Daphnia pulex: one gene and its partner. The protein of the gene in region 2 interacts with the protein of the main gene of each other region in a biochemical or structural test. Links are inferred from orthologs where the notes say so. Each region holds a gene or a part of one and is shown on either strand. Other genes may lie near its edges.

Region 1 (8,058 bases), on a different chromosome or scaffold from region 2:
AAATGGATGCCAAGTTATCACGAAAGCGTCTGTCGTAGGTTTATACCTACATTTTTAAAATGCAGCAGCATTTTTATTATTTACAAGTACGCTTAATACGACCTTTAAGTAGCCGGAGGCCATTTTGGCACCCAAGGTCTACGTGTGTTAAGAAAAAAGAGCCCGAGACGTAACAAATGTAACGGTATAACTTTTTGGGTTGTGTCGCTCCGCCTGCAACCACAAAAATGAAAAAAAAAACGAAACTCGACTAAAACTTGATTGTGTGTGTGAAATCTTGATTACGAAAATTTGTCTAATCTAAAAGATATCCTTCTTAAACAAAACAAGGATATAAACCTGATTTTGTTTTTATTAAGGGGGGGAGAGAGAGGGGCTGATTCTTTTATAAATATTTCCATAAAAGAACCTTTTTCATCGAAATTAAAAGAATGCGCAATGGGAAAAAAAGGATAAGAAAACACCATAGGGTGAGGGACATTTTCCGCGGCCCCGAAAGAATAAAAATAGAGAGCGTAAAATGTTTTCTGGGGTTTTCTTTATTCCTTTACACACACACACAAGACGAGTTTGTGTGTGTGTATCTCTTTAAATGTATAGGGGAATCCAACCGCAAAACGGTCGATGTTCGTTTCTTTCTAGAAAAGAAATGTCCGACAACGACTTCCTCCTACACGCTTTTTTTTTCTTTCCTTTCTTCGTTCGAAAAATTTCAACCAATAAACGAGTGGTTTCGTGCGTGATAAAAACTACTTTTCTCTCATCGATATTTAGTAATAAACCCCTTTTTCCTCTGCATTACATCGTTTAGCATAAAGACAACCAACGATTGTGCTAACGGCACGTCGTACCGTAGAAATGCCTTTCCCATCGAACAACAACAGGTTTCACCAATTATAATATTAAAAGGCCACCACCATTTCTTGACTGTGGATGCCATCTAGCTGATTGTGTCGACATCTTTCTTGTATATTTCTAACAAGACGGAAAAAGGCGATCTGTGTAAGGCGGAAATATAATAATTAACCAGACAGAGATTTTCTTTTTGGCTAAAAGTGACCAAAACAAAATGGCTTTTAAAAGTGACACAAAAAGAAAAGAAGACAAAAGAGATGAAGGCAGTTGTACAACAGATCGAAAAGGTGACGGAGGGAAAGAAAGATGTTCCAATGAGGCAAGAACTGGAATGGACGCAAAGTCGATTAAGACTTGATCTATCATATTTAAAAATACTGGACCGAATAAACTGATGGTGAAAAGGGGAGGGGGAAAAAAACGAAAGAGAAGAAATGGTAGGCTGTTAGAATTTTTGCTGCCGTGAAACCTGCCAAACTTTCCCTATGAAACATGTGTGTGTGTGGTTCCAATTTTTAGTGTAAATCTTATAATGGCATGAAAGCGAATGCTTCGTTTTCTATTCTAATCCTAGACGCAGTCTTCCAATGACATGAGCAAAGGATTGACGTACTCGAAACCTTCAAACTCAGACTGATCGATGCGTTCAATGACCGTCCTGCAAAGCAACAAAAAATAAAACAAAAATAAAAATCGATTCTTAATCGACAGACGATCCATCACTTACTGATCGTCGGGTGTCAGTTGGACTGGTTCGTCTGTGAACTCGGGTGGAAAGTGAGCCAGATCACGGTCGGAATCTAGACGAGGCACGTAAGGTGGAGCCACTTGTTTCTTCTCCAACTGTGCACGTATGAAAAAAGATTAGTAATCTGTTCCTAGAATGTGGATTAAACGTGTAAAAGAGAGAGATGTTCATACCATTTCCCAGTCGACTGATTTAAAGAATGGATGATGGACGATATCGACAAAGCCCGTTTCTTTTCGACAACCCAAACGATCAGCTGGATTCTTATTAAGAAACCCTTTGAGGACAGAAGAAGCCTTCACAGATAACGACCTGGGAATGCGAATCGTCTTTTCCAGGATGACTGCAATATGAAAAGAAAAGAAAAAACACACAATGTTTTACAAACAACACATTTACAATCCTCTCAAGTGGAAAAAGGTCACGCGATCTTGATAAGACCCCGTTTTTCTTGCGAACTTTATCAAATGGACTCGCGAGTTTCCACAAAGCAAATATTATAATAAAGAAGACAAGATGAAGCTCTACCGTGAAACAGATAATCTTCAGTGTTTTGGTCAGGATTCTCTGAAGCGCCGACGATGTCGAAAGGTGAACGACCGGCCAACATTTCATACAACAATACACCCAGCGCCCACCAATCCACACTGATAAAAACGAAGAAAAAGGTTAGACATTTTCGCTACAGGGGAGTTAGCGTTCCAGATTCTATTGGGTTTAATTTGTAAACATTACCTGAAACTGTAGTCTTCTCCGCGCAGAATTTCAGGAGCGATATAGTTGGGCGTACCACAAAAGGTAGACGTGGTATCACCCGGACGGATGCCCTCTTTGCACATTCCGTAGTCGGTGAGTTTGATATGACCTTCATGGTCCAGTAGGACGTTATCTAGCTTCAGATCACGGTAAATAATTCCTTTCTCGTGTAGGAAATTGAGCGCCAAAGAAATTTCAGCCGAATAGAATCGAGCGTGCTCCTCAGGAAGTCGCCTTTGGCGCTGCATGTGGAACATTAAATCACCACCACGTACGAATTCGATGACAAAGAAAAGGCGTGACGTCGTCTGGAAACACGAATGCAAGCCAACCAAGAAAGGATGGTTGGATGCCGTCTCAAAGACATGTTTTTCCGTTTGAACCCAGTCAATATCCTGAAAGTCGAGTTGTTCAATTAGAAGAAGTTGTTGATAAAATCAAAGAATCAATTTTCTTATACCTCATCATCGGTAACAAGTTCCTTTTTGATTACTTTCATGGCGTAAACCCGACGAGTTCGTCGTAATTCAACCATCAACACTTTAGCATAAGAACCACGACCAATCACACGAATCAATTCAAAATCCGCCATCGAATACGGACGTTGAACAGCACCACCTTCGACACCTTCTTCTAATATTTTAAAGTATACAATTAAAAATCTGAATTGTTTTGTATGGAAATATAAAGTACCTGGACTTCCATCAACCGGAACACTCACACTGTGAGACTCAAAAATAGGTTGTACTATTGGCGGTGCGGACGGTGCTTCGGTACCATCACCATTCTGTCGCAGCGCTGTCGGGGGTTCTCCGGCATTAACAACAGGGCTTATAGATGGAATAGCAGCAGCGGTCACTGCGGACCCTGAACTGGTATTGAGCGCGCTATTTGACAGTAGATGAACCTGGGATGGAGTGTTCAGAGCGGCCACTTGCTCCGTGTTGCAACTGATCTTGATAAGCTTGTGGCACTTTTTGTGGATGAGCAGCTTGCACTGAATGCATTTGAATCCTTGCCGACCTAGACCCCAGATACGGTCGTGACAGTAAGCGCAAGAAGCTCTCTGTCATAAAAATGGAAAGTAAGGATTACTGGGAATCAATGGTGTTGCATGGATAAACTTACGCGATTGAAACGTTTTGCCTGGAAAAGATGTCCATTGACTCTGTACAGTTTCCGCCATCTACGAGCACCACGTCGATAAATACTTTTATCTTCTCCAAAACATGGAAGCCCTGGTGACACAGGGACACTAGGGAAAACTGAATTTTAAAAAGAGTAATTAAATTTCAAGTTTATACACAAGTAGAATTAAAAAATACCATGAATAGTGATTTCTGAATCGTTGTTCACTTCATACAGACGAATAGCTTCATCAATTTCAACTTGTGAAGAGATAGTACATGGATCACCTAAAGGGATGTAAATCATAGTAAAAGAAAACTGTGTGGATTGTATGTGTTGTACAACCTTCTTCGTCAATCCATTTCATGGTAAACTCTTGATCAGGAGAAAACTGGCAAATGGCTCGCATCTCATTTTGGAGATCATCCAACAGGATCTCAGAGTTTATGTAAGTCACGAGAATTTTCCTGCAAAATAACTAATGAGGTAAGTACATACAAAGATTGAAAAAAAAAACATGAAGTATACCCGCTGAAAGCTGCCTTGACTTTGATTTCGGCCTTTTCCCCATCACTCACGAGGGTGGTGGGCATCGTCATTTAAAACAACAGGTGGGTTGGGCACAAATTGGCCGTTTCCTCAAAATTACAAACAAGTCCTCACGGCAGCCGGACTATTGTAACCATTTGAGGCTATCACTGATTGTGAACCACGATTCCACTATAACTTCTTTAAACTTCTAACAGAAAACACTTTTAGTTTTAACCTAAAAATATGAGTCAGGCGGTTAATACTGGCAAAACTGACGTTTCGAGGATTAACCTTCTATGCAGCCGCCAGGAGGCGTTCTCCGAGATTGATCAAAACTTGATTGATTTTAAAGAAAAATCGTTTTTGTAATTGTTTTTTAAATATTCTCAGCTATTATTTAATGACCAACAACACTTCCGTCATTTAATATGTGGATTTATCTCGAATTCTAATTCGAATCCGCAACCGTTTTTTTATTTCCCAGCAGGCAGAGATTTTCATTGCTTAGCGCAACTTCGGATTCAGAACATACATTTCTGTTTGTCACCGCCACTCATTTTTCACCTCGCCCATTTTTTGGTTTTTCCTGGGAAAAAAGGCCGGAAATCCTTTTCAGTTCCATTTTATTATCTCAAAAGTTTGTCGTTTCTGTCCATTTTGAACAATGGTAAGTTAAAAATCGAATTTATTCATATTTTCGGCTAGTATTAAACCTCCAATTTCAGAGTGAAAATTTTATTTGACATTTGACTTGTCTAATAATATTTCTCTTGTTATTTGTTTCTGCAGACGGAGGAGCAATTGAACCGAGCGTTGGACTTAATGCGACGTCTCCCTCCTCAGCAAATTGAAAAAAACCTGAGTGACCTGATTGACCTAGTTCCTGAACTGTGTGAGGATCTTCTATCATCAGTGGATCAACCACTTAAAATTGCACGTGATAAGAGAGAAGGAAAAGATTATCTTCTCTGTGATTATAACCGTGATGGAGATTCTTATCGGTAACAGTATTTACAGTTGTGTTGAAAACTTGACCCTAATAATAACAAATGTTGATCTGTCAGTTCTCCATGGAGCAACACCTATGAACCACCTCTTGAAGATGGAACACTGCCCACGGACAGGCTACGTAGATTGGAAGTAGAGGCCAATGCTGCATTTGATCAATACCGTCAGATGTATTTTGAGGGTGGAGTCTCCTCTGTGTACCTATGGGACCTGGATCATGGATTTGCTGGAGTCATTCTTATAAAACGAGCTGGTGATGGCGCTCGAAATATTAAAGGGTGCTGGGATTCGATTCATGTCATTGAAGTGCAAGAAAAGTCTACCGGCCGTTCGGCTCACTATAAGCTTACGTCGACAGTCATGCTATGGCTGCAGACCAGTCGTCCCGGTTCCGGAACGATGAACCTTGGTGGAAGCTTAACGCGTCAGGTAATATTATTGTTTACTTTTATGACCATGAGATATTTCCCTTAAATTGAACCGATTTTTTCTCTCGTGTTAGATGGAGCAAGACGGAACAGTAAGCGAGCCTACGTCGCACATCGTAAACATGGGTCGTCTTGTCGAAGATATGGAGAACAAAATTAGGCACACTTTGAATGAAATTTACTTCGGTAAGACTAAGGATATTGTCAACGGGCTGCGTTCCATTCAGCCTTTGGCCGATCAAAAGCAAAAGCAGGCTTTCAGCGAAGATCTGGCTAATGCTTTGCAGAAAAGACAAGGAAAAAGCGATCCTTAACTGATACATAATATTATAAATTGCATTTTCCTATTATTTCCCTTATTCAACCAAGTTTTTCCCCTCCTGTAAAGTATAACATCCATTACCCAATCAAGTTGTTGCCCGTTTTGCTTCAATTCACATGTTGAGTGATTGGAAAATAAAAGTTTGAAGTAAAAATCGTTAAATTTAAGGCTCCATTATTTTTGAAGTGCTTGAAATTGGTTTATTGAACTCTTTCGTTTTGCTGCATGGGAAATGGGTATGAGTAAGGTTTAGGTTAAACAACTATCTTGCAATCAACTGCAGAATAGCGTAGTGTTCATTAACAAGTCTGTCTATTGACCCATTGGGTCGAACGGGGGAGGCAATAATAAACCAGAACAAGAGATGGACTTATCCAATGAAACGAGGCAACAAGGTCAAGATACCCATTTCTCCCCACGATTTACATCAATCGGTAGTAGGCAAAATTAAAAGAAAGAAAGTAGAATTTAAATCCAATATCCACAGCTGTTTCCCGTTTATTTTTTTGTGTTTCTCTCCATTTTTATTGGTAACCAGTTGGAAGTGAAACTTCACAAATTTGTGTGAATTACTTTTCGGCAGCTGTGTTGGCTTTAACGGCAATCACACACTCTTCGCCGCAGGCTTTCAAAACGGTACACTATAGAAGAAAAAACAGGTGATTATACATCCACTCTTAATATCAAATTGAACAATACATCGCATAGGGTAAAATTAGCTTACCAGAAGTTCGCGACCATTTTCGAAATCAGCCCTGATTTGGTTACCCAAGTCTCCTTCTGGAACCTTGAGATCTTCACGCAAATCTCCGTTGTCATTCATCATTGAAAGAAAGCCATCACCAGATATGTCAATGAGCTAAAACAAAAATTTTGTTAATTCCAAACTAACATAATCAAAGTTGTAATTTTATATTACAGTGAAATCCTCCCTCTTGACAACAGGGACATCCATGTTGTGGGTGGAAGGGCAAATATCTTCAAGTTTCTTGCCATTGAAAATGTCGATACCAACCATGTGAACCTTGGCGTGGCCATGTTTGCCAGTCTTGGATGTGGACATCTCAACAATCTTGCAAGGCCTTGCCTTCAAATGAAATTCACTTTAAGTACAATGAAGATTAAAATAATTTCTATTATTATATAATCACCTTCAACATGACGAAACCGTTCTTGCGAAGAGCAGAGCATTGCATGGGAAATGTTGCTGAAGCTCCAGAATCCCCTGACTCGAACTGAGTGTCTTCAAGCTCTGCCATGTTGTACAAGTTCAGGGGAATGGATATATAGAATCACTGTGACAAAAAGAAAGTGATTAGAAACATTCACATCAATGGGGTAGCGATTTCAGTACTATCTTCTATATTGATCACTGCCGCAGCAGCTGACTACTATAGTTATTACAACGGCGTTAAGTTTAATTTGACAACAGTACTAAATACCCAAAGAAATATAACTGAAAAAAAGGAATAAGGATATGGAATCCAATTACATGAGAACACTACTGTAGGCTAATGAATATGCAACAATAATATGTGGAAAAGGCCGGTTAAAATCCCAACATGGCGCCCAAAGTAACCTCATGTGCCATGTGTCATTCCTACTTCGACCACCAGCGTTTACCAAGCCCAAAAAACACAACTATCAGAAATACAAACGTCAACAACACGATTAAAGTGAACACAAATTTGTAACGGAGACTTTGGCTATTAAACTAACTACAATTACCGATATCAATATGCGAAATAAGACTAAGGAAAAAGGTAGAATATCAATTCAATACTTACGTTCTGCCACGAGCGGCACGGGAAAGACAATTCGGAGTCTATTGCCTGGCACCAGCTAGATAGATGGCGCCGTGGTGGAACAGCGCCACCGCTAGCCCCCTAGGCAACAACAACGTAGACAAATGAAGAACGCTAGCCGTCGATTTTTGGCGGCATGGCTGAACAACGCATTTAGCCCTGGAGGGAAATGTTTTCTCGAGCTCATCGCCACCATCATGGAAATCAAAACCATTGAAAAAGTTAAAAGTTAAAAAAAAAAATACAGATTTCTATTGTATCATAAAAATAATTTTAAATCGTTGTTAAGAAACCAACGCCATTAAAAGCTTGGCAACACGATTGTATTGGCGGCAAACGATCACAATTTTAATTCTGTTGTGTTCTGCTGGTATTCGTTTGATTTTTAAAATTCGTGTTCTTAGTTGCCTAACTCTCTTTTATTTTCTCTAGACATTACGACAACCTGAGTCGCCCCGTTATATTTCCTTTCTTGTG
Region 2 (7,277 bases):
AAACTTCTTCTTTGTCCTCAATCATCCGCACGAATTTGAGTTTTTTGCAATTTACCTGGCGAGCGACGGCGATGGCCATTTGGCGTCCGAGCTCTGCACGGTCACGTTCATCGGGCGGAAGAGTTCGTCTGAGGACGTGATGGCGGTCCACTTCGCTCACGGCAGACGACCTGCCGATGCTTCCGGAATGACCGGAAGAAGATCTCCGCTCGCTCTGGTGGTGATGGTGAGATTGGTTTCCGGACGAAGGCATAATCATGTGGCCGCCGGCCATGGAATGATGACCCGAAACTGTCGGATCCGATCCGGATGACTGATGACCGGATTCTGGACTGGCTGGTGCGGATTTGCGGTGCTTGCCGAAGCGGAACATGGAGCCCAGGCCTTTCAAAAGGAGTCCGGCCGCGTTGGCGTTCTTCTTTTTGCTCTTGCGCGTCTCGTTCTTGTTGTTCAACATGGGAATTCCGATGTCCGATGGAGAGCGTGGCGGTGGCATCATTTCATTCACCTCAACTTCCAACGCTTCGTCCACTAAATCGCAAAGAGAAAATAAATAGAGAAATTAAAAAAAAAAGAATGTTCCAGTCTACTAGTCCGGAATAAATCCCGAAAGTTTCACGAAATTTTCAATGGACATTAAAACATTAGTCTGGTAAAACGCTTCCGGGTTGCTTACGTGTCTCCATGGGCTCTTTGTTGGTGCCGTCAGTTGGCTGGCCCGACTCGTCGTAGCTGCGATCGACAGCCGCTCGGAAACTTTCATTGCAGCCGCGTCCTCGAACCACCCGGATGGCCGTCGGCCGGTGATAGCCGTAGCAACCGATTTGAGGCTCCTCCTCCTGCATCTGGATCTCCTGGACGACCGTCTGGAGCGACTCCAAACTCGACGATTTCTTCAACCCCAAAGTCGGGCCGATGTCCCTTGAAGAGTTTCTTGAAGGCGGGTCAACCGGACGGACGAAAAGCGGCCGGCTATTCTCCTGCGACTTGTCTGATTCACGCACATTTAAAAAATCCACAACGGTTATCATTATTTAAATTTAAAAAAATGGCAAAATTGAAAAAAAATAAAATAAAAATAAAAACCGGATCAAACCGGCAACCAAAAAAGAAACGGAATAAAAAGCGTTACACCCAGCGCGATGCGATAAATAAAAATAAAAAACCGAGCAAGCATAATAAAACAAAGAGAGGTGCACACACACACGAGCAAGCGGCAATTGCGTTACGTACATGGAGGTAGCAGCGGCGGCCGTCTTTGGCCTTGTTGAAGGGATAGGACAGGTGACGGAGCGATTAGGGGAAGGGATTCCACCGAAGAGACACGAGAACGTTGATGCTGATGATAATGATCCGTCATCATCATCATCATGGATGGGGCCACAGAGAGGCGACTACCCCGATCAACCGTGCCCGCAACCCCCCGGCGATTCGCTATTTTAACCAAAATCCAATTCCAATCCAGATAAGGCCAAACAGAGGGTGGGAAAAAAGAAATTTCAGTCGAGGTTAGTCTCTTGGTTAATTTGCGTGTGCAGAAAAGGAGAGAGAGAGAGAGAAAGTGAAAAAAAAAGATTTATCGCAATTAATCCGCAATAATGAACTTCTCCGGGTAATTCCGCAATTTCAAATGACTTTGACCTTCACGAAAAGTTCATTATTTTACAGAAAAAATGTTTTTAAAATATAAGTCACCAGTAAAAAGAAAGTTCAATGACAGAAGGAGACCGAGAAGGGGGGCCATTAAAAGAAAGTTAAGGGACAGCAGCAACAACAGCAACAACATGACAGACACACACACACACCTGTAGCCACACCACCAACACCCCCAACAACATCGTTGGGTTGATAAAGATTGGGACTGGATCGGTGATAGGTGGGTGAGCTGAGGTAATCCTTCTCCAGACGCGAAACCAAAGGATGGGCGTGACGACGCTTGACAGCGCGACGGATCACCCGACCTGAGTCACCCACACAACAACACGCCAGAGGACACGCAATGTTTCCATTTCAAGTCGGAGGAGTTGAGGGTTGTGGTAGGAGAGGGTAGACGAGAGAGAGAAAAAAGAACAAAATTCGAAGGTTCACGGTTAGGATGAGATTATTATCTAAATGTCTAAATGAATGTTATTTTGTTATTTCTCGTTACGTGGAAAAGCATCAAAAGGAGAAAAAAAGGTGAGAGAGTTAAATAAGCCGAAAGTAGTTAATATTATTCCCGATAAAAAAAAGTACGCCGACAAAAGAAGAAGCTTTTAGCCTATCACCAAATACACGGAGCGTCCAGGTGAGAATTTGTGAAATTAATGTCATTTTTATTTTACCTGATGGAGGCATGTTCTCTTTCACTGCGGATGTTTGCGGTTGTTGTTGTTGTTGTTGCTGTTCGCTTTCGGGCTGGGTCTGTTTCTGACGTTCTCTTTCCTCCCTGTAGAATTCAATAAAAATATTTCCGACGTGTTAAAACCGTATCGAGTCCCGTACGCTTCTAATTGTGTAATAATCATCGTTTTGGTCGTCTTGGTGACAATAGGAAAAAAGAGGAAAATAAAATCGCGTTGGTTCTTCTACCGACCTGAGTTTCTTATTCCTTTGATAAGTGTCCGTGTTCTTGGCGTCCAGCGAGGCGTGCCGTTTTTCCGACATGCTCTGACGACCAAACTGGTCGCGAGAAAAGCCGGGAGCGTTCGGGTCCGTGTCCAAAGAAGTCCTTCAAAAAAAGAAAAAAAAGAACAAAGAAAAAAACAAAACAATGAAATGACAAATAAAAAGAATTTCCCAAAACAATCAAAACAAAAAATAAAACGTGACGTACTGGCTGGTGTAGGTGGGCGCTTCCGAATCGCTGGGACGTCCATCGGATCGCATGGATGTTTCCGACAGGGGACTCTGGGGCGGTTGTGGCTGCTCGGCATTGGGCCACGGTCGGTCGCGTCCATCCGTTGGTCCAGAGCGTTGACCACCGGGACCACGAATGTTATTATTGGAATGTTGTTGTTGCTGCTGCCAAGGCAAGTTCATGGTCGTATCCGGTGTAGAGGCCACTGAGGAACCGTTGGACGTCGACATCATCATCATAGAGGGTGGGCGTGGCCTCGACTGCGGCAGGTAATCACCGTCGATCGAAACCACCTCGCCCGGCGTCAAATGGACCGTTGGGCTGTTTTGCGAATGCTGCTTCCGCCCTGGACCCTGCTGCACTACGCTCGTCTGGTGCCCACCGTTCGATTTCGACGAACTCATCAAAGTTTCCTGCAACTGTGTCGTGTTCCACGTTTCGTGCGTGGCCTTCAAAAATAAAACCAAAACAAAATTCAATCAATTCAAATTCAACTGGGGAAAAATCAAAAGTTGAAACTTACCCGGTAGTAACTCTCGTTGCGGAGATCAGAGGAGATTCCGGAGAGTCGATTGTCTTTCATGAGATTTCTCTCACGACTGTCTGATCCACTTCCGCTGACAAAAATGACGGTGGAACCGGATTGGTCGCTACTGCCTCCGGAATGATCGTAACTGCCGGAGCTGTCGCCCCCGTTGCCGCCCAGTCGAACCGTTCCGTTCACCGTGTCGTCCTGCGACTGCCCTTCCAGCGTCACTTCACGATCCTTGAGCGCGTGCATTTTGCGGGCAACCGTCAGGGTGATGTGCCCGGGCTTAGGACCCTCCTGGTGGACGGCTCGCCTCAATCCTTCCATCGCTTCCGTGTTGGATCGCCCCTGCAGAGAGACGCCGTTGACGTGAAGGAGCTGGTCGTTGGTGCAGAGCCGGCCGTCCCTGGAAGCGGCTCCTCCGTGCAGGACCGACTTGATGAAGATGCCCAGGTCGCTGGTGCCATTTCCCGATGACGACGTCGTCTTGCCTTTGACTGAAATGCCGAGGCCGGCCTTTTCCGTGTCGTGGACGGGAATGTCGAGTGTGAGGATCTCGCGCTGCTTCCAGGGCAGGAGCAGCAGACTCTCTTCGCTGGCCCTGCTGATGGATTTCATCTGCCGGGGCAATTTGGGACTCGTCTGCTGAGTTTGAGTCGACGATTGAAGCTGAGACGATTGAATTTGTTGATTTTGCAATTGGTTCGACTGTTGGATTTCTTCTTCCGTTTCCTGTCGGGAAATTAGGAGACGGGCGACACCACCGCTGGGAATGTTGCGCAAAAGGCTAACCACCTCGCTCTGAGTCTTGCCCGTCATTTCCACGCCGTTGACCTCCAAAAGTCGATCACCGGAGCGCAGTCGGCCATCCTCAATCGCGGCACCTGCAAAATATTACAACATTTTTTTAAAAGTCAAATTGATTGCCATTCCAAAAAAGAACAACAGGGAGGATTCCAGGAAAGAAAAGAAGGTTGGAAAACAACCTGGGAAAAAACGGAATTTGACATTTCTGAGCCAAGTCAAGAAAAACGAACGACAAAACGAACCTCTGGGTAAGATATTCTTGATGTAAATGGGGCAAAGCCCTCCAGCCGGATTGTCACGCGTCGTGACACTAAAGCCGAGTCCTTCATGGCCTTTCGTCAGCTCCAAATCCAGTTTTTTGCCGATTTTCCTCGTGCTGACAGTCATGAGGGCGTTGCTGGCTCGGCCCGTTCCAGGGACGACGGCCGGTGTCTTGCGAGTTGGCGACACGGCGGCTACACGGGAAGGGGGCGCCTGTTGTTGTTGAGTCTGTATTAGTTGCGGCTGTTGCTGTTGTTGTTGCGTCATTTCATCCAACTGATCCGACGCCGGGCCGCGATTCACTTCTCCGTTCGATTTGACTATCCGCAAACGAAGGTCACGACTCTGATTTTCCCAAATGAAGAAATAACAAAATAAAAATAATAATTCGATGAGGGTCTTCATTTTGGGAATGAACCCGTTTTTATGGATCGTGACTGGCGGCCTGATTAAGTAGACAATCAAGGTCAACTCAGAGAGAGAGGGGGGGAGGGGAGGGCAGGCAGATAAGCAATCGAAACGATAACAAAAATGCCAGGGCCAACAGCTAACAGCTGGGCGAGAAATCGTTCAGGAAAAAAAAGGAAAAGTTTTGCATTTTTTGGTAGTTTACAAAATCAAATGGCCGGAACGACCTTTTCGGAATGTGGCGGGAGGAGGAACAAAAACAGAAACAGCTGAGACAAACGAGATTGGCAAAAATGAGATAAGAGAAAAAGAAATATACCTGGAGGGCGTTGCGGAAGAGCTCCTGAGCTCGGTGGAAAGGCACGTCCTTGAGCGGATGCGAATTGATCTCGACGATGCGGTCGTGAACGGCGATGCGTCCGTCCCGGTAAATCCGGCCGCCGGGCTCGACGCCCTGCACCAATAGGCCCAATTCGTTACCCAGGGGCGAGTAATCGGGAACGACGTGGATGCCCAGCGGTTGGCCGCCTTCATTAGGCAACACCACCAGTTGAGTTGTTGCCAATTGGGACTGCATGTTGTTGTTGCTGCTGCTGTTGTTAAGGTGGTGCGGCTGGTAGAGGTGGTGATGGCCGTCGCTGAGCGGAATCGATTCACTGGTGGCGCCCACCGGTTCCCGTCTGAGGCTGCGGGTCCTCCGGTGCATCGTCTCCTCATAATCGGGCGGAGTAGTTGCGGTCGGCGTAGCCACCCCCGTCGGAGCCGTTGCGGCGGAAAGTAAGGCATTGTCGGCCGCTTCAGCCCACCGATATCCAGCATTGTTATGGCTTCCGCCGTTGGCGGCGCTGCCAACGCCTCCGCCAAAAATTTGCATCGAGACGCGAGCGCCGGATCGAGCGAACCGCGGGCCGGACGGGTGGCGTCGTACGACTTCCAAGTCACGTTCCTCGCAGTCGGAATCCGATGTGGGATCCACAATGGGGGCTGCCGACCACCTCTGCTCATGTGGCCATATGGTATTGACCCACATAATGTACAACAAAAGATAAACAAACAAACAAACGAAAAATAAATAAAATAAAATTCCAAACTGCAATTCACTGACACCGGATCAAACCGGTGCACAAAGATAATTCACACACAGAGAAAACTTTCAAGGATTATTATTATGATTGCCATTTTTTATCGAGAAGAGAAAAGAAGCTCCAAGGCTTTTTTTCTCTTTCTGTTTTTGGCCAGTAGAAAAACAGAAAAAATCGATTGGATTTTTGGAGCTTTCTCCTGGAAAAAAAGGACTCCCAGTTTGGTCATGTGTGTTACGTTACCTTGTAGTCTCTGCTGTTGGAGGTGGTAGGTGGCATGTCTGCGTGGTGGTGGAGGTGATGGCCGGTGGAGGCTGAAGAAGATGAGGAGCCTGTGGTGTTTGGCGCGGTAGACGGAGCGTCGGGACTGATGCGATTGAGAGCCGGCTCTGATCCGCGTCTGACCTGCAGGTGTAGGTGATCGACCATGAGACCCGTGGCCGCTTCTTGGCCTGTGACCTCAATGTCCTTTCGACTGGCTGGATGACTGCTGCCGACGACGCCGTAGCCGTGGTGATGGAGACCGAAATCGGTCGGCGAAGGTGAACCGGAGTTGGAACTGGCCGAAGTGCCGTCACCTCGCAGATTCATCAATCCGATCCGCGGGCCGAGCACCAAGGGGACACCCAGGGAAGGCTCGTCCAATTCAGATCCGCTGCCACCACCACCGCCGCCACCATTGGAAAGGCAAGCGGCCAACTGTTCCCGATCGTCGACGACATCGGCCAGTCGGTCATCCGGATCTAGAATGGCACCATCCGATGATCGAAGAGCCGCTACAGAAATGGCAGCATCATTTGACTGAAAAAAAAACGGGAAAAACGAGAAAATGAAACACAAATGATGATATTCCATCTTCTTCTTCTTCGTCTTTTCCTTCTCATTAGACATTCAGAAATGTCAAAGCACCAAAAAGGGAGCGGTCGGCCAATGGCTTTCTCTCCCTACAGCCACAGACACGTACATACAACTCTCTCCATCCCTCACCACCACCCAAAAAACAACAACATATAGTCGAGCGAATAGAAGAAAAACGCGAGAAATGAATTCAGCCGGCCACAAGAAATCGTGCATGGGAATAGACGACGACGACGTGTCTTGTTTTGTGTTTTCTTTTTTACCAGGTGCTTGTAGACGCCGTTGGATAAGCCAGAAGTGGCGTCGTCGAAAATGTCTAGAGAATCGCAACTATCCAACTGGTAGGATTGAACGCGATGGGAGAATAATCTGCACGGGAAATAATGAACCAGTTGAACTGCTCGACTGTTACAACTTTTGTAAGCCATTGCCAAACACACACACACAACCGTTTTCTTTCACATCTTTCTCCTCCTGTTTCTACCGTTGCGTC

What was found.
Region 1: of the proteins of partitioning defective 3 homolog (region 2) and atypical protein kinase C-like, one has a biochemical effect on the other in vitro, tested with the Drosophila melanogaster proteins (2 studies listed by BioGRID). The link is inferred for Daphnia pulex from reciprocal best matches to the Drosophila melanogaster genes baz and aPKC.

What each region holds. Positions count from the first base shown.
Region 1 is NC_060022.1:4,024,259-4,032,316, reverse strand, and holds atypical protein kinase C-like, read right to left. Parts: upstream 4,335-8,058; 5' UTR 4,087-4,334; coding exon 4,016-4,086; intron 3,955-4,015; coding exon 3,833-3,954; intron 3,775-3,832; coding exon 3,685-3,774; intron 3,625-3,684; coding exon 3,488-3,624; intron 3,426-3,487; coding exon 3,053-3,425; intron 2,993-3,052; coding exon 2,820-2,992; intron 2,755-2,819; coding exon 2,339-2,754; intron 2,251-2,338; coding exon 2,132-2,250; intron 1,947-2,131; coding exon 1,777-1,946; intron 1,699-1,776; coding exon 1,583-1,698; intron 1,514-1,582; coding exon 1,426-1,513; 3' UTR 949-1,425; downstream 1-948. Other genes in the region: F-actin-capping protein subunit beta-like, read left to right, coding at 4,683-4,685, 4,808-5,019, 5,083-5,455, 5,529-5,768; eukaryotic translation initiation factor 5A, read right to left, coding at 6,346-6,417, 6,501-6,635, 6,696-6,863, 6,928-7,035. UniProt on the Drosophila melanogaster protein: Serine/threonine protein kinase which is required for apico-basal cell polarity in the germ line as well as in epithelial and neural precursor cells, for epithelial planar cell polarity and for cell proliferation.
Region 2 is NC_060025.1:9,137,978-9,145,254, reverse strand, and holds part of partitioning defective 3 homolog, read right to left. Parts: 5' UTR 7,213-7,277; coding exon 7,048-7,212; intron 6,728-7,047; coding exon 6,170-6,727; intron 5,842-6,169; coding exon 5,164-5,841; intron 4,782-5,163; coding exon 4,418-4,781; intron 4,253-4,417; coding exon 3,363-4,252; intron 3,289-3,362; coding exon 2,816-3,288; intron 2,711-2,815; coding exon 2,576-2,710; intron 2,429-2,575; coding exon 2,325-2,428; intron 1,962-2,324; coding exon 1,806-1,961; intron 1,435-1,805; coding exon 1,234-1,434; intron 992-1,233; coding exon 677-991; intron 532-676; coding exon 56-531; intron 1-55.